Linked DNA regions of Arabidopsis thaliana. The protein of the gene in region 1 interacts with the protein of each later gene in a pairwise test. Each region holds a gene or a part of one and is shown in the gene's direction. Other genes may lie near its edges.

Region 1 (7,542 bases):
CTCATTACATCAATGCTTCTGCTTCCACAGTAGACAGGAACTTACAATACTTCTCTTTGATGCTTGCAGGTGTGTATGGAGATTGTGGTGGTGCGTGGGTCAATGAAAAGTAAGTTTCTTTCTTCCAAGTTTCATCTCTTTTGTTCATGATAGATAAGGTCGTTCCTTCATATTGCAGTCATCTCCCAAATCCTAAAACTCAGTCAGCCAAAGTGAGATTAGCTGCAGAACAAGGATGGTTAAGCTTGGGTCGTGATCTTGGGGTTTCGACTCAAATACTTCGACTTGGGGGTATTTATGGACCTGGTCGAAGGTTGTTTACAGCTTCTGATTGTGTATGTAGTGCTTAAACAGGCTTTAAAACTGATTCTCAAAAGGAACGTTTCTTGCTGCAGTGCAATTGATACCTTGTTAAAGCAGGAGCGTTTGTCTGAAGGTCAAAAGAGAAGAGCGTCCCGTAAATTCACGTCGAGAGTTCATGTTGAAGATATATGCCAAGTTCTTAAAGCTGCCACTGAAAAGCCAGCATCAGGGTTTGTGTATCCCTCTTCATCTATGATCATTCTTTTGTGATGGATGATTGAACCATTGAGACGGATGAATCAACCATTTTGGCAGGGAGATCTACAATATTGTTGATGATGATCCGGCAGCAAGAGAAGAGGTGTTTGAATATGCCTTGGAGTTGATCGAGAAACGTTGGCCGGGGAATATCACCACAAAACCATTTCCATTTCTGTATGAATCTCGGGAGGAAAGTTCATTGAGAGGCGAGAAACGAGTCTGCAACGAACGCATGAAGGATAAACTAGGAGTGAAATTGTTATATCCTTCGTATAAGTCAGGACTGCAAAGCATAGTCGAGAACATGGACAACCGTTTTTGAGCACACCACAGGACTAAATTCCGCTGATCTGAATCTTTCCTGTGGAGAATTAGGGACTCTTTAGTAAAGATAGATTTTTAGTTTATCCTTTTTTGTTTCTTCTGCATTCTACAAAATGACAAGTTTGTTTCATTGGTACACATATTTTCCCCATGTGACATTTAAACATGGAATAAAAGTAAAAAGGGATACAAAATGTTTAAGGGAGCTTTTCTCTAATCCAAAGCCAGTCCTATTTTATGTCATGTTGCCTGATTAAGGCCCTGAAATGCGGAAAAAGAAGTGTTAGCAGTTGAGAAACTTAACTTTGTTTAGATGGAAAGTGAACATATTGAGTCTCGTATGGATATTTTACCTCAACGCTTGAAAAAGAATGACTTAATCTTTTATTACTATGTCTGGACCAAAAGCTCTTCTTCGAGGTAGAATCCCTGGCTTTACTCCACTTGGTGCTGACGGAACCGAAGTGCCATTTCATAAAAGACTTAGACGTGGAGCCTTTGGTATTCGAACTAGGATCCATCTTCAGACCTTTTCCTTCTCGTTTCCCTAGATTCTGGAACATAAGATCCTCACATTCACTGCGGACATAACTATCTACCACACGGTTCTTACACCTTTTGTAACTCGTTGCCTTCAATTCTGCCTCGGCTTTTAGAGCTTTCCTCGATAATTTAGTAACCTGTGTCTCTGTGCATATGGGACACGTAGGATCATACTTCTCTGTTTCATTTGTCATTGTCTCTAAGCATGCCGCATGGTAAACATGGCCGCACGCTAGAACAGCAGGAATTGGAAGGTCAAACCTGGCAACTGGAGACCTTTCAGTTAAAAGCTTTGAGCAACGCCCACAAGTCTGCTGATCAACAGAAGGGGAGCATGAGAATCTGCTACTACTACACCCACTTAGTCTTCGTCGTCCGGAACCTAAGTGCTCATTATCAAAAGACCATCTCTCCCTTTGAGACTGAGCCACGAGCTCACAAAAGGCGTTTATGGACCAGCCACCTTCAGAAGAAGCAAAATGGGACCCAGTGGCAGTGTCATTACTACAGGTCGAAAGCACAAAGGACGACCTTCCTTCAGATGTTGAGTAATTATTGGGAGATTTCAATCCCAAAGTTTGACTATCAGAAACCTGCCTAAACAACTGCTGCCCAGGTGAACCTCGAGCACGTCTAGACGGAGTTGATCTGGGAGGAAGTGAATGTGTGTGAGCTGAAGGAAGATCAGAGACCGAGGTGGAACTTGACGGATTTGGTAAAACTGATGAAACAATATCTGATGAGTCAACTATATTCTTCACCTGAAGAATTAAAAGACGAGAGGGTTAAGAGACTCTGAAGGGACGAAAAGAGACTCTGATTGGAGTAAGTAATGATCTCACCTCAACACGAACAGGACTTGCCAAGGATACATCTGCCCAGAGAAAATAGATGCATGAGAGACAGGAAAAAAATCCTTCATTACAGTAAGAAAATAAAGCTGAAATGATCTCTACCAAAAAATGAAATGTCTCTCGATCTAATCCTACCAAATAAATGTTGTTACCCCTTTGACTGGATTGAGTAGACTGGAAAAGAACATCCACGAAGGAACTAAAATCGACTCAACAGTATATTCCCAAACAATGAAACTGAAAGTTCTACACTTTCCCCACAAAAAAAGTGTTTGAACGAACATACCTGAAGGAGATCGAATCGCCAAACTTGTACCCGCTAAAGGAGCTGTAACCATCGAAGCTGTGCCCATCTCTGAGTCTGCGGATTTCTGAGAGCCAAGAGTAGCTAAACCCCCAGTTTCAGATGACGGAGGTCCTCTCTCTAAGCCTAACGACAACTTATCGATGTCAATACCTCTACTCCCAACATTATGATTAGATGAATCTTTAATCTCATCAGCTACACGCCTCCTGTTGTCCCGTCGAAAACTCCACGATGGTGAACACACTGAATTATCAATAGCTCCACTGGGAACATTTCTGTCCTTTGCAGCCACACAGCAAACAGACCCCATAATCCTTAAAAGAGAGCTGTAATGAATATGTCTTACACAATCTCCATTGGTGGTGCTTCCTAATCTACCACTGAAGAACTTATCACAGTAGCAAACCACAATTCTGCATATAAACAAACAGAATGTGAACTTCGAATCAGAGCCATTATAATACATAGAGGTGAAGGCAGAGACCTCAAAATCTAACGCAGAAATCATCAATGGAACGGAATTAAAGTAAATACAATAGATGATTCTAAAATCCGGGGGTTCACCAGGGACTCACCAGAGCAACTAGGGTTCCGCAGGATTGAAACGAGGTATATGAAGATGCGGCGGAATTCGAATCCAACGGCTGAGAGAGATTTCAATTACTCGACGGAGATGGCCGCCGATCTGAGAGAGAGAGAGACGGAGGTTGGGTGCGTCGCAGGGAAATTGTGCCACGTCACCCTTCCTCTCTTCTTTTTCTGTTCTCTGTTTTTCTTGTGCTACTATTTGTTTTTGGTCAAATTTTACTTTTTTGGTCAATTTGTTTCTTTTTTTTTTACATAACAATTTTTTTTTTTTTTTTACTGAACAAACATAACAAAATGTTTTTTTTAACAAACATAACAATATGTTTCCTAATGCAATTTGATTATATTTTTTAGTAGTACTTAGTAAGTCTTGGTATGTGTTTATGGACACATCGTTTTCGGGAAACGAATTAAATTGTACTCCGAAAATGATAAATGCATGGAGTAATTGTATACCAACTAACTTGTAATAATTTGAATCAACACATGCTCTTTTGTTTACGCAGCCCATGCATTTATCGTTTTCGAAAGTATTTAATTCATTTTGTTATAACTACGATGAGAAGCCGAGAGAACCACAGAATTATAATGAATCGGATAAGAAAAATCAACATTCTCCCCCTATAAATACAAAACAACTAGCTAAAGTTCGAAGGATTCATACATAAATCTTCAACACAACTCTTTAATTATCTAGTTTAATACAAATGGCGGCGATAGAGGACAGTCCAACGTTTTCCTCTGTGGTAACTCCGGCGGCTTTTGAGATAGGCAGCCTCCCGACAACCGAGATACCGGTGGATCCGGTGGAAAATGATTCAACAGCACCGCCAAAACCGGTGAGAATCACCTGTCCAACAGTCGCCGGAACTTATCCCGTCGTTTTATTCTTCCATGGCTTTTATCTTCGCAACTACTTCTACTCTGACGTTCTTAACCACATCGCTTCGCATGGTTACATTCTTGTAGCCCCACAGGTACATAATTTAACTATACAAAAAATAATTATGAATCATTTAAAAGGATAACTTACGGTATGTAACATGTAACATGTAAAACAAAATGTACATTAATTGAGATTGATTGTTACGTGAAAAGATATAAGTTAATTTTATATTCTTGAATGACAGTTGTGCAAATTATTGCCGCCGGGAGGGCAAGTGGAAGTGGACGATGCTGGAAGTGTGATAAACTGGGCATCGGAAAACCTCAAAGCTCACCTACCAACTTCGGTAAATGCTAATGGAAAATACACCTCACTCGTGGGCCACAGCCGCGGTGGGAAAACGGCGTTTGCGGTTGCGCTAGGCCATGCCGCAACATTAGACCCATCCATCACGTTTTCAGCTCTAATAGGAATTGATCCAGTCGCAGGAACTAACAAATACATTAGAACCGATCCGCATATCTTAACGTATAAACCGGAATCTTTCGAGCTGGACATACCGGTTGCAGTGGTGGGAACCGGACTCGGACCGAAGTGGAACAACGTGATGCCACCATGCGCACCAACGGACTTAAACCATGAGGAGTTTTACAAAGAGTGTAAGGCGACGAAAGCCCATTTCGTGGCTGCGGATTACGGACATATGGATATGTTGGACGATGATTTGCCCGGTTTTGTTGGGTTTATGGCCGGTTGTATGTGTAAGAATGGGCAAAGAAAAAAGTCTGAGATGAGGAGCTTTGTAGGTGGAATTGTGGTTGCGTTTCTCAAGTATAGTTTGTGGGGTGAAAAAGCGGAGATTCGATTGATTGTGAAGGATCCTTCCGTTTCTCCGGCCAAGCTTGATCCTTCACCTGAGTTGGAAGAAGCTTCTGGTATCTTCGTCTAGATTTGTGTTATGTACTATTATCAGAGGGGTCTTGAATATTTGAAAAACCTATCAATGTTTTCTAGCTCCAAGCTAGCTATTGTTCATGTCCTAAGTTGCATGTGTATTTTTATTAAACTCGATCAAAACATTTGTTATAGTTTTACCCCAAAACTTTACAGCTTCTTCTTATACTAAAACCTAAACACATTTAAATAGCTATATAATTCTCTATATAATTCTTATATAATGAAATGTGACCAAGCTTTTCAACTTCGTTGCAATGATTCATGTAATTTGGTTTAACTCCGTCACAAACTCTATATCTTTGTAACATACCCTTATTCAAACTTTCTTGTTGTATTCTAAAGTTAATGGTATTTGTAACATATCGCAATTTCGATCTTATTTTCGTAAGGAGAAAGGAAAAATTTGCTCCTGCACTACAACATTTAATGAGAGCTCCAAACTCTACAAACAAGTCAACAATGACAAATTAATTTGGGCCTGCACTACGACAACGATACAGCAAAATGGAGACAAAACCACATTTAAGGTTTTATTGTAGGCAAATGGTCCTAAGATTGTCTGTATACGAAAGGTGCGTCGTGAGTCTCGTGACTCTTGTGTATGTGGTGGTTATTTTACTCTCGAGTTCCACGTGTGTTTGTTATAATTGTTAGTATATACGAAAGATTGTTAGTTATAACCACCAGCTGACCTGCTGAAGAAAGGAATTGAGATGAGCCGAAAAGGATCGAGTCATAAAGCTTGGACCGGTAGATATTTAAATGGGCCTAGGCCCATATTGGTCATTTACTTTCAAAGTAGATAAAACAGTTTCCCACACATCCCACTAAAGTCACATCCAAACATTACAAAAAGAAAAAAAGAAAAAAACCACCTTATCCATAACCATCCCTGACACAGGCGCCGTACACGTGGCGTCCATTAGGCTTAATTTAATCGGTGACTGTTACTTGATGACTTGTCAGTTTTCCACGAGTTAACGGTTCACGTCATCACGGCTAGACACTGAATTCTCATTTTTATCCCTTCACCACGACCATTAATCAAATGCAAGATATTGGTGAAAGGGTATATTCGTCATTGAAACAAACATGAGTCGATAAAATTGACAGAGTCACAGATTCTATTTTTTCCTCTCTCTCTGCTCTTTGTTGATCTGTCTGTGTGGGATTCTTCCTTTAGTTCCTCTGTTGATCTATCCAATCGAATCTTACGAAAATTTTCGGTAAAGTTTCACTCTTTCTTGTATTTCTATCATAGGTGATTGTAGAGATTCATCAGATTTTATGTGATTACGTGGTCAATTTAGCTACTAGGTGATATAATATAAACTATAGTTTTCACTTGTTTTGATCAACATGTTTTGTTTTTTTCCCGACCTTTTTAGCTATTGTATTTGTGTGGTGATCAGTTATTTCTCTTGCAAGTAAAGTAGTTTTGTGATTTTGTGAACCGAGTTAGGGTTAAGAGATGGGGTGATGTTGGATACTAAAAGTTTTAATTTTGACACTTGAATGTTTCTGGGTTCTGCATCAAAAGAGTGAAGATGAGGTCGCTTCAAGCACCGGTTGTTTGCCCTAGTGTTCGTCCCAGACAATTGGGTGTCTCTGCTTTACTTGTCAACTGCTCTGTTTCGAAAACTAGGAGTCTCAGAAAACAATTCTGGGGTAACCAGACCAAAAATGACAAGTCTCAGGCTGCTACAGTGAATCTTCGTCTGCATCTTCGGAGGTATAAGAGTATCAAATGTCTTTTCAGCTCGCACTCTGATGGTACCGGAAGCACAGCAGAGAATTTCAACGAGAACGATGAGGATTATGTCAAGTCTAGTGTATTGGAAGCTGGTAATCCTGGTTAAATCTGTATTTATACCATTAGTTCTCTCTATTCTTCTTGTGTTTTGATTCTAATCATCGATGTTCTCTTGTTGGTTTTGTATATAAGTTGAGGTAAAAAGTGGACCAGATGGTTTCATGGTGAAGATGAAGGATGGGAGGCAACTTCGATGTGTCCACAATAATCCTCAAGGAGGGAATCTTCCAAATTATGCTCCACATTCTGCAATTGTGCTGAAAATGGAAGATGGAACTGGTCTTCTTCTCCCCATTATCGTCTGTATGTGATATCAAAACTCATTCTTTTGTTTATGTGTGTTGAGATTTCCAATTTGCCTTGTGTTTTGAATCTCCTTTCTTTGTTTTTTGTTTATTGCAGTGGAGATGCCTAGTGTGTTACTTATGGCAGCAATGACAAATGTTCAAATAGTAGGGCTTCTGTTATTCTTTGCGTTATGCTTCTGTTTGAATCAGTCAAGAGTTGTGAAGAGAGGGTTTATGGATTTTTTTTGGTTACTGCTTGTAGGCAAGGCCCACTATGTATCAAGTGGTGAAGGACATGGTAGACAAAATGGGTTATGAGGTACGCCTTTCGGTTTTTCTGTTTTCTCTATCCTGTTATTTTCCCTTTAGCAATACAAATTCTTATGTGAGTAACGTTACCAAACACCAACTTTTTCTGC
Region 2 (7,493 bases), on another chromosome or scaffold:
TAATTCTTGTTGATTCTCCCATAGATGACAGTAGATCATCTGGTTATATTTATGCAGAATTGAAGGCTCTTATTCTAGTTGGAGGATTCGGAACCAGATTGAGGCCACTTACCTTGAGCATGCCTAAACCACTTGTTGATTTTGGAAACAAACCCATGATTTTGCATCAGGTAGGTTAGCTTCTTCTTCTTCTTTTGTATTTGCTCAAGTTTTCACAGTTTCTTTTGTTCTCATTATGATGCATTCGCAGATTGAAGCTCTAAAAGGTGCTGGAGTGACTGAAGTTGTATTAGCTATCAATCACCAACAACCAGAGGTACATACATTCATTGTCCTTAATAACGATACGATAACAATTGAAATTCTTCCGTGTCATCCTCCTTCTCCTTGTGTGTTTGGTATTACTCAGGTCATGTTGAACTTTGTGAAAGAATATGAGAAGAAGCTAGAGATTAAGATTACATTTTCCCAAGAAACTGAACCGCTTGGAACAGCAGGGCCTCTCGCGCTGGCTCGGGATAAGCTGGTCGATGAATCAGGCCAACCCTTTTTTGTACTAAACAGCGATGTTATCTGTGAATACCCATTGCTTGAGATGATCGAGTTTCACAAGACTAACCGTGCTGAAGCATCAATCATGGTGACCGAGGTAGTCAAACAGGAGCATTTTCTGCATTTTGTGAAGTTTATCTTTCATCTGTTAATAGCATTTTCTGATATTAACAGGTTGATGATCCTTCTAAGTATGGTGTGGTGGTTACAGAGGAAGGTACAGCGAGAGTTGAAAGTTTTGTCGAGAAACCGAAACATTTTGTGGGGAACAAGATCAACGCTGGGATATACCTCTTGAGCCCATCTGTTCTTGACAGGATTGAGCTGAGAAGGACTTCGATAGAGAAAGAGATATTCCCTAAGATAGCTTCAGAGAAGAAGCTTTACGCGATGGTACTACCTGGTTTTTGGATGGACATTGGTCAACCGAAAGATTACATAACCGGGCAAAGAATGTACCTTAACTCTCTAAGAGAGAAAACTCCGCAAGAACTGGCCACAGGGGATAACATAATCGGGAATGTTCTCGTGCACGAAAGTGCGGTTATAGGAGAAGGTTGCTTGATAGGACCTGATGTGGTGATTGGTCCGGGATGTGTGATTGATTCAGGTGTAAGATTGTTTGGTTGTACTGTAATGCGCGGTGTGTGGATCAAGGAACATGCGTGTATCTCTAATAGTATCGTGGGATGGGATTCAACCGTTGGAAGGTGGGCTCGAGTTTTTAATATAACGGTTCTTGGCAAAGATGTTAACGTCGCCGATGCAGAGGTTTACAACAGTGGGGTTGTTATCGAAGAGCAAGGTCTGTGAAACCAGAGCCTAGACCTAGATTAGTTAGTTCCACTGTTTCCAGAGTCTTATGAACCGCAATATTCTTACAATTTAAAACAGATACAAACTCTATGGTAAACCATATCATAAACCGGTTAAAAATGGTATTCGACACCAATAGAGAAAAACGTTTTTCAGATCCATCCCTAAGCAAGTTGTGTATATTTCTTTCGTAAATGTTTTGAGACATTCTTATAAGGGACATATAAATTATTGTAGATAAAGCCTATGTTTCTTAAACACGAAACTGTGATTTATTAATAGACTATAGTTTGGTGTATGTAATTAACGTTGAGAAAAATGAAAGACGTGACGGCAGAGAGAGAGAGAGTGGACCCGACCCGGACGGCACGGAGACACTTTCAGTTTCTTCTTCTTCTCTTCTGTCTTTGTGATATTTCTCTCAAAATCAATATTTTTTCATCTGTGAAACGACTTCGTCTCCTCCCACTCCATTGTCACTTTCTTCTTCACCCTTCTCTCGTCTCCGTCTGATTTGGCGTGTAACTTCTTTCTACCGTAATTCTCCTTCGTCTTCTTCTCTGGTATATCTCTTGCATTCCCTCCTAATTTCTTAGCCAATTACTGTTTGGAATGATCTTCATTTTGTACTTCCCATTGCTTGATTTTGGTTGACACCTTTCTCGTTTAAGATCGTCTCGTTTTCATGCTGAAAACTCAAGTATTTAGTTTTTTCGTTTGTACCCTTTTGTTGATGTTTTGGTTTGGGGAGAAAATGTGGTTCCTTTCAAGTTTTTTCCGTCAATTTGAGTTCTCAGGTCAACGAAAATGGATGGATGTTCTTAACCCATTAACCAAGTTTGATTTTTAGAGAGATTCTGTAAACAAACAATAACATTTTTTGTGCTTGAATTATTTTTATATTTATTGCAAGTTTAGGATTTTGCTGCTTGAAATGATTTTGATCATAAATGTTTATTACATTTTCTTATGTGTGTAAAAACAGGTTTGGGATTCATGAGTTGAGTCACAAGGAAAAAGCATGTTAGACTGTGGCAAAAAAGCAGTCAAATCACAAGTAATCAGTGGCCGTCTCGAGAAGTTTGTAAGGTAACTCTCATTATTGTATATAGTTGATCGAAATTTAACATGATGATATCATTCTAGCAGATTCAGATATTGTTTAGCCAAAAAGGACATTCCTTTACTTCAGGTTTGAAACTAAATGGATATCTTTAGTTTATTTTGTTCTTCACAGGTTGGATAGTATGGATTCTAGGTACTCGCAGACTTCTGATACTGGTCTAAACAGATGCACTCTCAATTTACAAGGACCAACACGTGGTGGTGGTGCTCAGGGAAACAATGTATCTTCTGGTTCCTTTAAGAAAGGGTTTAGAAAAGGTTCTAAAGGTCTTTGGTCTATAGGAAGATCAATTGGTTTAGGGGTTTCACGAGCAGTTTTTCCTGAAGATCTTAAAGTATCAGAGAAGAAGATTTTTGATCCACAGGACAAGTTTCTTTTGCTCTGTAACAAACTGTTTGTTACTTCTTGCATTCTCGCTGTGTCTGTGGATCCGCTCTTCTTGTATCTTCCGTTTGTTAAGGATAATGAGAAATGTATCGGTATAGACCGGAAGTTGGCTATTATAGCAACAACGCTGCGGACAGTAATTGATGCGTTTTATCTTTTTCACATGGCTCTTCGGTTTAGAACAGCTTTTGTCGCCCCTTCTTCTCGGGTTTTTGGTCGAGGCGAACTTGTGATTGACCCTGCACAGATAGCAAAACGTTATTTGCAGCAGTATTTCATCATTGACTTTCTCTCTGTGCTTCCACTTCCACAGGTAATAACAGAAATGCCTCTCCCAGTGTTCTCTTATCTTCCATTGTTTCTTTGTTCTCTAAATTTTTATGACTAGTTTATGTTATTCTTTGGATTTTTCAGATTGTAGTTTGGAGATTTCTTTACATCTCTAAAGGTGCAAGTGTGCTAGCAACAAAGCGGGCATTGCGATCTATCATTTTAGTTCAATATATTCCAAGATTCATTCGGTTGTATCCTTTGAGCTCAGAGTTAAAGAGAACAGCTGGTGTTTTTGCTGAAACTGCTTGGGCTGGTGCAGCTTATTACTTGCTACTCTACATGCTCGCAAGCCATGTCAGTACATACTATCTTTGGTAGCTTTCCTCTTATATTCTCAAAAGATCCATTCATCACTCTCTCTTTTTTCCCTTATGTTTTTATCAGATTGTTGGGGCTATATGGTACTTATTGGCCTTGGAACGTTATAATGGATGCTGGACCAAGGTTTGCAGTAATAGCAGCTTGGACTGTCACAGAAACTTCCTGTTTTGTGGTAATGAAAAAATGGATGGTTATGCAGCTTGGACTACCATCAAAGATTCTGTTCTGCAATTAAATTGCCCAGTTAATACAACCGATAATCCTCCTTTTGATTTTGGGATCTACTTAAGAGCCTTGTCCTCTGGCATTGTCTCATCTAAGAGCTTTGTCTCTAAGTACTTCTTCTGTTTATGGTGGGGACTTCAGAATCTCAGGTACGTAATTCTAAAGAATCCGTCTTCTATAGTCATTATGAAAAGTCTCTGTTGCATTAGTAACTTTGTCGATGTCAAATGCAGCACTCTTGGTCAAGGGCTTGAAACCAGCACATACCCTGGAGAAGTTATATTCTCCATAGCACTTGCCATTGCTGGACTTCTTCTCTTTGCTCTTCTTATTGGAAACATGCAGACTTATCTTCAATCCCTTACAATCCGGCTTGAAGAAATGAGAGTGAAAAGACGTGATTCAGAACAGTGGATGCATCATCGAATGCTTCCACCGGAACTGCGAGAACGAGTCAGACGATATGACCAGTACAAATGGTTGGAGACACGCGGAGTTGATGAAGAGAATTTGGTTCAGAACCTCCCAAAGGATCTGAGAAGAGATATCAAACGCCATCTCTGTCTGGCTTTGGTTCGGAGGGTAAGTTGAATCTTACTTTAAAAGCCTTTTTCTAATCTTGATTCATAAATGAAACCATCTTGTTCTATTTTTCTTATGGAAAGGTTCCATTGTTTGAGAATATGGATGAGAGGCTGCTCGATGCAATCTGTGAGCGGTTGAAGCCGTGTCTGTACACAGAGAGCTCTTATTTGGTTCGGGAAGGCGACCCGGTTAACGAGATGCTCTTCATTATCCGTGGTCGGCTTGAGAGTGTGACCACCGATGGCGGAAGAAGCGGTTTCTTCAACCGCAGTTTGCTTAAAGAAGGAGATTTCTGTGGGGAAGAGCTTTTGACATGGGCACTTGATCCCAAATCTGGTTCCAACCTACCATCCTCTACCAGAACCGCAAAGGCTCTAACTGAAGTAGAGGCTTTTGCTTTGATAGCAGATGAGCTCAAATTTGTGGCTAGCCAGTTCAGAAGACTACACAGCAGGCAAGTTCAACACACATTCAGATTCTACTCGCAACAATGGAGAACTTGGGCTGCTATCTTCATACAAGCCGCGTGGCGACGATACGTGAAGAAGAAGAAACTTGAGCAACTCAGGAAAGAAGAAGAAGAAGGAGAAGGATCAGTTACTAGCATCAGAGCGACGTTCCTGGCTTCAAAGTTTGCTGCAAATGCACTTCGTAAAGTTCACAAGAACCGTATTGAAGCAAAGTCTACTATAGAACTTGTGAAATATCAGAAGCCTTCAGAACCTGATTTCTCTGCTGATGATACTAGTTGACCAAATTTTACCAGAAAAGTGCTAATGTCTATGAACGCTTATAACTTGTATAACTCGGATTGAATTTTATTGTTTGATTTGTGTTGCTACATTAAGATAAAGAAAAAGGTGGTAACATAAAAGATTATTTGTGATTGTGATTTGTTTTATATGTGTTTCTTTCTGTTTCCTGAAGATAAAATATGAAAGATACTGCAGGTTTATTGAGAGATGACATAGTTTTTGATAAGTTCATACAGAGATAACATAGTCTCGGATCATCAACCTTTCAGGAAGTTTTTGCAGAGCTTCTGCCATAGAATCCTGTCTGGTTGCGCAGTCTCCATCGTACTCTTTGCCTTATCCGCAAACTCTTGCTGAAAAAAATCAATCACATTGCAATTCTTGATAAGGCTAACTACATTGAGAACAAGAACACTCCGAAATGTTTATCTAGCAAAAATAGAGATCATAGAGAAGGAGAACAAACCTCCATCAGCTTCATATTAAGGACTCGGTCCACAATCTCAAACAGAATCTCTTTGTTATACTCTGGATGCCCTTGAATACAGAAAAAATGATCTCCAATAGAGAACATCTCGACGTTACATACCTCAGAAGAAGCAAGTAGTGTAGCAGACTCAGGAAGTTCCAACACTTCATCCTGATGACATTTTATAATAGCTAAAGATGCTGGGACCTCAACGTCTCCAAAGTAACCTCGTAGTTTTTCATTGTCTTTCGCTATGGTTATGCTTCTAAGTCCCATATCTGCACCTTTGAGTGCTCTTCCTATCTTCCCACCTTTAACTCTAGTAATTATCTATAGCCAAAAGAACAGAGACACAATCCAGAACAAAGCAAACGTTCATCAACAAACACTCTCTCCATCAATAAACCAACAATATAAAGATATCAATCTAACTATAATGGCATTGGAACAACTCGAGTCTGATCTAAAAATTGAAATGAGCTAAATGTGAGTCAATCTAAACCCTAAGATTCCAACCGATCAGATCCAAATCAGAAATTGAGCAAAACTGAATTGAAAGGAACCTGGTGGCCGAAGCAGATGCCGAGAACTTTCTTCTTCATGTGATCAAGTTTCTGACAAACTTCGCAAAGCTTAACAATCCAATCGGCGTCTCCGAAAGCATCATGTGGACTACCACTGATAACGAAACCGTCGTACTTGTCTAAATCATTCTCGTCGGGAAATTGTCCGTCGATGACTCGGAATAGATCCCATTGCTCACCTTCTTCGCCGAAAGTTGAAACGAAGACATTGAAGTAACCACCGTAAGTCTTCTTCACGAACTCTGAATCACACGTCGCTAAAAACAAAGCAAACCTCTTCTTCTGCTCAATAACCACCATCTTCTTCTTCTTTCGTCTCAGAGATCACACCGATGAAGCAAAAGGAGAGATAGAGATTCGGAGAATGGAAATGTGTAAGTTAGAGACGACGACGGGGAACAAGATCAGACACGCCAAGTGAGATTTTTGTTAAATAAAGAAAACAGAAAAAAAATAGTCAAAAATTAGTTGAAAAAAAAAGAATCACACATCGAGATTAGCTGTCTATAAGATGACAACTCCACCTAATAATTTATCTAAGTTTAGAATCACATTTATTTGTTTACCGTAGCTCGATTTTACGTGTATTTTTTGAAGATCAAATAATCTATTTATACACGTAACCTATACCCACTTATAAATGACTAAATTAAAATTACAAATACCAGTCTTCTTCTTTTTGTTTATCGGTAATTTATTATTATTATTTCTTATAGCAGTCGGTAATTTAGTTAAAAGCGAAGATATGTTACATTATGTGATGACCATGACCATATAATAGTTATGAAATTACACAAACGTAGTAGAATTTATTTAGACCATGAACGTGGAAACTAAACCAATTAGTGGGTTCTTCGTCCTTTCAGAAAATTCTTGCAAAGCATGTGCAAACGCTGCGTGTCTGGTTCAAACTTCTTGATCGAATCCTTTGCTTTCTCCAAAATTTCCTCCTACATATTTTTTAGTTTAAAAAATCGTTTTAGAGATTCCTCACCCTGGCTACATATATATATATATATCCTGAACAACGGAATTTAAATTGGGTACGTAGCGGAATAATCTCCCAAGGGTTGGGACATTAGAAGACCGACCAATCTATACATAATAGGATTAATAAAACCAAAGATAGACGTTTAAAACGAACCTCAACAAATTTGATCTTGTGGACACGATCAATGATCTCAAGGAGAATCTCTTTGTTATACTCGGGATGACCTTGAAAGCAAAGCAAGTGATCTTCCACTGAGAATATCTCAACGTCGCATTTGTCTGAGAATCCTATGACTCTAGCCGACTCTGGAGGCTCAAGTACTTCGTCTCGATGACATTGTATGATCGAC
Region 3 (7,089 bases), on another chromosome or scaffold:
CACCGGCCCAACAACGCCGGATCTAGCTCTGAAACCTTGGGTCAGATCCATTAGCCGGGAAAATCACACTTAAACCGGAATAAACCGAGTTGAATGAAATTCAGTGATAACCAGAACCGACCGACTTGATCAACTCGTTCCTTTTAGAGCTTTTAAAATCGAGAGAGAAAAAAAGGAATTTAATTTTTGTCAGTTGGGGAGTATTTTGACAGTTAACGCGAAGGAGGTTGCATCAATGGCGGTATTAAAGAGAGTAGCGAATGAAATATTTCTCTCTCTGTCCCTCTCTGTGAGTTTCTCAGAGCTTGCTCAAGAAAAGAAAAAGTCTTCTTCTTCGTTAAGAGTTTATTATATCTGTGTGTGTTCTGAGAGCACAAGAGCCATTTGGAGTGGGAAGAAAGCAACGTTAGCTTTGGAGTGCGTCTGTTAATAAAGCCAAATTTTTAGAGAAAGGAAATATCCAATTTATGGGGTTTGGAGAGACGATGATAGAGAGACGCTTTTGAATTGGGCCTATTGGGCTTTATTCGGTAGTATTTTTAATCCCTGTGTAATGGGTCACTTGTTTTTTTCTGGTTTAGTGGTTACTAATCACTATAGTTGGAGCCATAAATAAGGTCATTTCACTATGATTCATTCTTTTTTTTTCCTTTCCTTTTTAATTTTTATAGACTCTGGTGAGTAAATTTTCAAATTTTGACTGGTCGTTGTTCACCCTCTTATTTTATTTTATTTTGTTCAAGGTCGTTATTGTTCAGCCTCTAAAATTACTCTTTTTATAAAAAATAAGCTTGAGATGAATCAGAGTGCCACACTCGAATAAATGAAAACGACAAGACTTTCCGTCCCCACCAATTATTTAAGTTACATGGATCTAAAAATTCGGCCGTTTTTAGTGATTTATTGGGCCACATGGACCGTTGATTGAGATTGCCAAAATTGGCCCATCTCACTCACTGCATTGGAGTTCTAGTGTTTGTACCAAAAACGGTAAGATGTTTGCGTACATTGACCGCAATTTGTAGCCCTCCCAGTTCTTGCACGACAAGGTTTTGTAGGATTTTAAGGTACTACTATTTCCTCTTGAAAGTTCTTTAACTGAAAAAAGTAATTGTTAACAAAAGTCGGATGTGATGATATGATGCATATATTTATTTGATGTTGTGAATAAGTTGAATTTGGGCCGTGACAAAGTGCTAACCCAACAACAATGGGACTTGTGACTCTTCGTGTATATTTCGGAATTGCCCATTAAGACTAGGAGTAGAGGAGCCAAAAGTGGCATATTTTCAAATGCATCTTTGTGTGGTTACTTTGTCGGTTGGTTAATGATTTTTCTCTGACACAATCCACTCTCTACCGTCTCTTCCCTCCTTTAATTTGAATAAATATGACATCCTCTATCCAATTCAAATTCATATGCAATAGGTCGAGTTCGATTATTTTCAATTATTCTTAAACATATTTTAATCCTTTTTTTAGTTACTGCTGAATCTTGTAAAAGTAAAACAATTATCGACCCAGTGGGACTGTACAGTTTTTTCATGGCTCAAGAGTGAAGAGGTCCTATACGAGTTAAGATTCTATAGACTATAGCATTTAAGATAACACTTTGTTTATTTTTTGTATCCCAAATTTGTTGTAACTTTTTTTTTTGATACCTATATATAGTTTTAATGCTATAAAAATCCAGTGACCCTAGATATCACCAACGGATACACACAAATTAAAAATGTAACAACAACCCACCTGCATCAATCAATAACTAAACTTCAAAAAGTTTCAAAAATAACCACAAAATGTCAAAAACCCAAAACGCAAATCCCAATATATCACATTTTTAATTAGAACTGTAGTGTATATATTATTAAAATTTCAAACCATAGTATATGGACAAGAATTCAAAAAATTGATCATGACTACATTACACCACGTTGCTAACATGAAACCATAAAAGAATCATACCTCGGTCAAATCTCCCATTATTCTTCTCCTTCGTCTTCACTGTTTACCGTTTTTCCTCTGCAACTTCTCGTTGCCTCACACTATATGAATCATCTGTAATTTGTAGCTTCTTTAACAACCAAAAAGTTTCAAGATTCCTATATCCTAAGCAAAAAATGAAGTTACCATCGATTCTTTCACTTGTTGTTTCTTCCATCTTTCTCTGCATGAGCTTTTGCTCCTCTCTCAATTCCGACGGTTTATCTCTCCTAGCTCTCAAATCCGCCGTCGATAACGACCCGACCCGAGTAATGACCCACTGGTCTGAATCCGACCCGACTCCTTGCCATTGGTCCGGAATCGTCTGCACAAACGGCCGAGTCACAACTCTTGTACTCTTCGGAAAAAGTCTCTCCGGTTACATTCCATCAGAACTCGGTTTACTCAACTCGCTAAACCGGCTTGATCTAGCTCACAACAATTTCTCTAAAACCATACCGGTTCGTCTCTTCGAAGCAACCAAGCTCCGGTACATCGATCTCTCTCACAACTCACTCTCCGGCCCAATACCGGCCCAAATCAAGTCCATGAAGTCACTCAACCACCTTGATTTCTCCTCCAATCATCTCAACGGTTCACTCCCTGAGTCACTCACTGAACTCGGAAGCCTCGTCGGAACCTTGAATTTCTCTTTCAACCAATTCACCGGCGAGATTCCACCGTCGTACGGTCGATTTCGAGTTCACGTCAGCTTAGATTTTAGTCACAACAATCTCACCGGAAAAGTACCTCAGGTGGGATCTCTGTTGAATCAAGGACCAAACGCATTCGCTGGAAACTCTCATCTCTGTGGCTTCCCATTGCAAACGCCGTGTGAAAAAATCAAAACCCCAAATTTCGTCGCTGCAAAGCCGGAAGGTACTCAAGAACTCCAGAAACCAAACCCTAGTGTAATCAGCAATGACGACGCAAAGGAGAAGAAGCAGCAGATCACCGGTTCAGTAACCGTTTCTCTGATTTCTGGAGTTTCGGTTGTAATCGGAGCTGTTTCTCTCTCTGTATGGCTGATCCGGAGAAAACGAAGCTCCGATGGGTACAATTCGGAGACAAAGACGACGACGGTGGTTTCAGAGTTCGACGAAGAAGGGCAAGAAGGTAAATTCGTAGCGTTTGATGAAGGATTCGAGCTTGAGCTTGAGGATTTGCTGAGAGCATCGGCTTACGTGATAGGCAAGAGCAGAAGCGGGATTGTGTATAGAGTAGTGGCGGCGGAATCGTCCTCCACCGTTGTCGCCGTTAGAAGGCTCAGCGACGGCAATGACACGTGGCGATTTAAGGATTTTGTGAATGAAGTTGAGAGCATTGGTAGGATCAATCATCCTAACATTGTACGGCTAAGAGCTTACTACTATGCAGAGGACGAGAAGCTTCTCATCACTGATTTCATTAACAATGGCAGCTTGTACTCTGCCTTACATGGTAAAACACTAATCTTTTTCCTATTTTGGTGCTAATTCTGCATAAATCTACCACTAGTTATAAGGTTTTTATGTGTACTTGCTCTGACTATAAAGTGGAGAGCTTTTTTTTTGTCTTTGTCTGATTGTGTTGTATTGACTAACATGTTCGCTTCTTCTCATTGTTTTATTGTTCAAAGCTTTACTGTGTTTACATGTGTTGAAACTTGAAACAGTAGAACTCGATGACAAGCATACAGATTTGCTTCTGTGTAGCATTATAGTATGTGGTCCTGTTATTTTCATGGGAAAACTTAAGTCGAGAATGAGTTAATGGTAGTCTAGAGAGTGTTTAATGTGACAGAAAGAATATTTCTTTTTGGTTCTTAGACAGAGATTAGTTTATGATCCGATAGATGTGTGTTTTTCATAGTTAACCTCTGCTTGATCTGCCTTGGGAAGTTAGTACTCGTTGAGATTTTTCCATTTTCCTGAGATATGCTGTGCTTTGAGTATCATGTATCACTGGTTTCTGAGACGGCATTTGAATTTTTTTCTGTAGGTGGACCTTCGAATACTCGGCCTACACTCTCTTGGGCTGAGAGGTTATGTATAGCTCAAGGGACTGCTCGGGGTTTGATGTATATACATGAATACAGTTCGAGAAAGTATGTTCACGGCAACCTAAAATCAAGCAAAATCCTGTTAGATAATGAGCTGCATCCTCACGTCTCAGGATTTGGTCTCACACGACTGGTTTCCGGCTATCCCAAAGTCACTGACCATTCACTATCATCCATGACGCAAAGTATAGACCAAGGATTTGCCACAAGACTCTCAGTCTCAGCTCCTGCAGCTGCTTACCTTGCACCCGAAGCCCGAGCTTCTTCTGATTGCAAATTATCTCACAAATGCGATGTTTATTCTTTTGGTGTGATTCTATTGGAGCTGTTGACTGGTCGATTACCTTATGGTTCCTCTGAAAACGAAGGAGAAGAAGAACTCGTGAATGTTTTGAGGAAGTGGCACAAGGAAGAGAGATCTTTGGCTGAGATCTTAGACCCAAAGCTTCTGAAACAGGATTTTGCGAATAAGCAGGTTATTGCAACCATCCATGTCGCTTTAAACTGCACGGAAATGGATCCAGATATGCGTCCTAGGATGAGATCTGTGTCTGAAATTCTAGGTCGGATCAAATAGGAATTAACCACTTCTTAAAGAGCCGGGATTAATTAGTTGTGTATGTATTAGTCTCAGGCTAAGTGGAGTTTTGTAGTTTCTATGGCAAGTTTAAAAGGGTTTAAGGTTTATTTCCGGATCAAGTGTCTGTCTCTGTTTATCATCACATGTACCTTGTGTCTTAAGGAAGAGAGTTTGGTTGTGAAATTATTTGCCCCTTCTAGAATCTTACACAGATAATATTAATAAGGAAATTATGATAAAGATCTTGTTTCAAACCTTATCAGGCTTTGTAAGTAAAGATTAAAATACGAAAAAATGTTGACAATCCTTGCAATTTGCATGATTGATCCTATCTTTCCAAAACTCAAAAGAATTATATAATATCACCAAGTGGGTTTATAAATTATACATGTATTTTAAATTGTTTGTTTTCATTGGTCAAAACTTATATTCGATTTTGATAGATGCATAGATTTTTTGAAAGATCATGGTTAACAAAAAAAAAAAAAAGAGACTCAATAGCTCTTTTGTGAGCCTGTTCTAATTAAATATTATGAAAACGGGAAAATAGATTATACTCAATCGCATGATTGCATATCTCTTGCGCATGGGGGATGTGAAATGAAATAAATTTGAACCGATCGTTAGCAATAACATAAGAAATGAGAAAGAAAGGCAAAATCAAATCTATTTCGAATATAATTTTTTGTCAGAAACATCAAACATGATCAGATCCCACCGTTGGTCCTTTGTTCAAATTGACAACAAAAAGTATGACTTTTATAAACCAAAAAGAGAGAGATCTTCATGGCAAAACATATCTTGCCCCCAGCACGATTGATTAGTTCCAAATTTAGCAGCCCACTCGAGAAAATTAAATAAAAAAGGAGAGAAACACTTGCTTAATATAGAAGTTTCTTTTTGGAAGAAAATAAAAATAGTGAAGCCCCCTTTTTGAGCTTGTTGACATTATAAAAGCCAAAGCTGGACCACGATTCCCCACTTCTATCAATGTAATCTATTTTTTCTTAAGAACATAAAAAGATTTTTAAATAAATTGATGGGAATCGTTTTGTTTTTTATATTTATACTACTATCAAACAGTATAAAAAACAAAATGTACACAACAACATTGAGAAACTAATGGGGTCTCACGTGTCCATGTTCCCATCCACATAGCCACGGACGGGATTTGCTTTCTAATTTTCCACATTTCTTTAGGCCAAACCTTTATAAATGGCACTTGATATTTGCTTCTTTAATTTCAATCTCTTTTTTTTTTTCTTTTTTTTTTGGGTGTTTTTCCCGTTGTATCCATTGCATTTAGAAGAAAATTGTTGAGACCACTGATTTTCTTCGAAAAAGAACTTCAGCAATGAAGAGTTTGTTTTATGCACGTCTTTACAAAAAAAAAAAAAACTAAGAGATTATGACCTGCATTGAAGTGAGAGCACTTGAGAAAACTTGTGTGTGATGATTTGGAAAATAGTTGTTATAGATAACTAATCATATATTGGTATATATGGATTCCTTTGAAGAAATACTGGTTTGATTTGAACAAAAACATTTGTTACGTATGATTAAACATACTTTTCATTGCACGGTGATACGAAATTTTGATTCAGTTGAATTAGATCAATGTAGTTTTGAGTTATATTTTTTATGTTTGCCCATTCGTTAGTGATATAAAACAAAGTATCATCAGTATATAGCTAGTTTCGAGATAGTATGTACAACTTTTAAATATTAATTACCTATGCTTAAATAGTAATAGTATTATGTATGTGCATGTGCTTTGTACATACAATTTTGTCTTCTTGTTGATTAATTATTAAACAGCTCGAAGTTTTAAGACTATGTAGCTTAGCCTATGTCAATGTCATCAATCTATATGCAATATATATAGAGCCTCAGGCACATAAACCGTAGTCCCCATATAAAAAAGGGAATGAAACAGCTAATAACTCCATAGAGAATAAATTCACATTCAAAGCAAATTCACCACCCCAATCTTCTCAATGGTTCGGTTTCTTTTTTCAATTCTTACATTGTACTAAAAGCTAAAAATTCAGACTGATACGATACGAATAGGTTTTTGAAAATATAAAAATTAATCAATTTCCATTAAAGGGCTGAATAGCTAAAAACTCCATAGAGAACAAGTCGCTTTATTGGATTTAGATTTTAAAAAGACGGCGCTCGTGAATTATTAAAGTTTAAACTAAGATAAGATTTAAAGAGATTTAGAGGAGACGTAATCTGGTGTATATCGTTCACATAGAGTCACGTCACTGTATAATCCATCGACCACTAAGGTTTTAGAGTTTAGTTTCAAATCTTACTTTTTCATGCAGGTGTACCGTATGTCACACAGATTATAGTAGTCGCCAACTTACGTTCCCAATGGGTGATAACGGCGTCAACGTCCTCCGTCACGATCGTGTCGTAAGCTGTACACTGTATAGGTTCCGTGAACCTTAAAATCGGATTTGGAAAGCTACGTACG

What was found.
Region 2: the proteins of CLH1 (region 1) and CNGC9 interact in a protein complementation assay, tested with the Arabidopsis thaliana proteins (one large-scale study listed by BioGRID).
Region 3: the proteins of CLH1 (region 1) and AT2G42290 interact in a protein complementation assay, tested with the Arabidopsis thaliana proteins (one large-scale study listed by BioGRID).

The regions. Positions count from the first base shown.
Region 1 is NC_003070.9:6,801,269-6,808,810, reverse strand, and holds CLH1 (chlorophyllase 1), read left to right. Parts: upstream 1-3,718; 5' UTR 3,719-3,887; coding exon 3,888-4,157; intron 4,158-4,310; coding exon 4,311-5,015; 3' UTR 5,016-5,325; downstream 5,326-7,542. Other genes in the region: AT1G19690 (NAD(P)-binding Rossmann-fold superfamily protein), read left to right, coding at 70-109, 179-313, 396-533, 619-886; AT1G19680 (RING/U-box superfamily protein), read right to left, coding at 1,129-1,149, 1,242-2,192, 2,274-2,305, 2,572-2,902; AT1G19660 (Wound-responsive family protein), read left to right, coding at 6,571-6,868, 6,969-7,139, 7,239-7,288, 7,386-7,442. UniProt on the Arabidopsis thaliana protein: Catalyzes the hydrolysis of ester bond in chlorophyll to yield chlorophyllide and phytol. Shows a preferential activity toward chlorophyll a. Does not seem to be required for chlorophyll degradation during senescence.
Region 2 is NC_003075.7:14,924,578-14,932,070, reverse strand, and holds CNGC9 (cyclic nucleotide gated channel 9), read left to right. Parts: upstream 1-1,715; 5' UTR 1,716-1,931; exon of another isoform or gene 1,932-2,068; intron 2,069-2,353; 5' UTR 2,354-2,389; coding exon 2,390-2,457; exon of another isoform or gene 2,458-2,605; coding exon 2,606-3,194; intron 3,195-3,295; coding exon 3,296-3,508; intron 3,509-3,598; coding exon 3,599-3,909; intron 3,910-3,993; coding exon 3,994-4,342; intron 4,343-4,425; coding exon 4,426-5,097; 3' UTR 5,098-5,237; downstream 5,238-7,493. Other genes in the region: AT4G30570 (Glucose-1-phosphate adenylyltransferase family protein), read left to right, coding at 120-170, 251-316, 410-649, 727-1,365; GGP3 (Class I glutamine amidotransferase-like superfamily protein), read right to left, coding at 5,358-5,453, 5,567-5,899, 6,133-6,453; AT4G30540 (Class I glutamine amidotransferase-like superfamily protein), read right to left, coding at 6,996-7,103, 7,298-7,493. UniProt on the Arabidopsis thaliana protein: Putative cyclic nucleotide-gated ion channel.
Region 3 is NC_003071.7:17,614,504-17,621,592, reverse strand, and holds AT2G42290 (Leucine-rich repeat protein kinase family protein), read left to right. Parts: upstream 1-1,856; 5' UTR 1,857-2,120; coding exon 2,121-3,423; intron 3,424-3,963; coding exon 3,964-4,601; 3' UTR 4,602-4,833; downstream 4,834-7,089. Other genes in the region: AT2G42300 (basic helix-loop-helix (bHLH) DNA-binding superfamily protein), read right to left, coding at 1-51.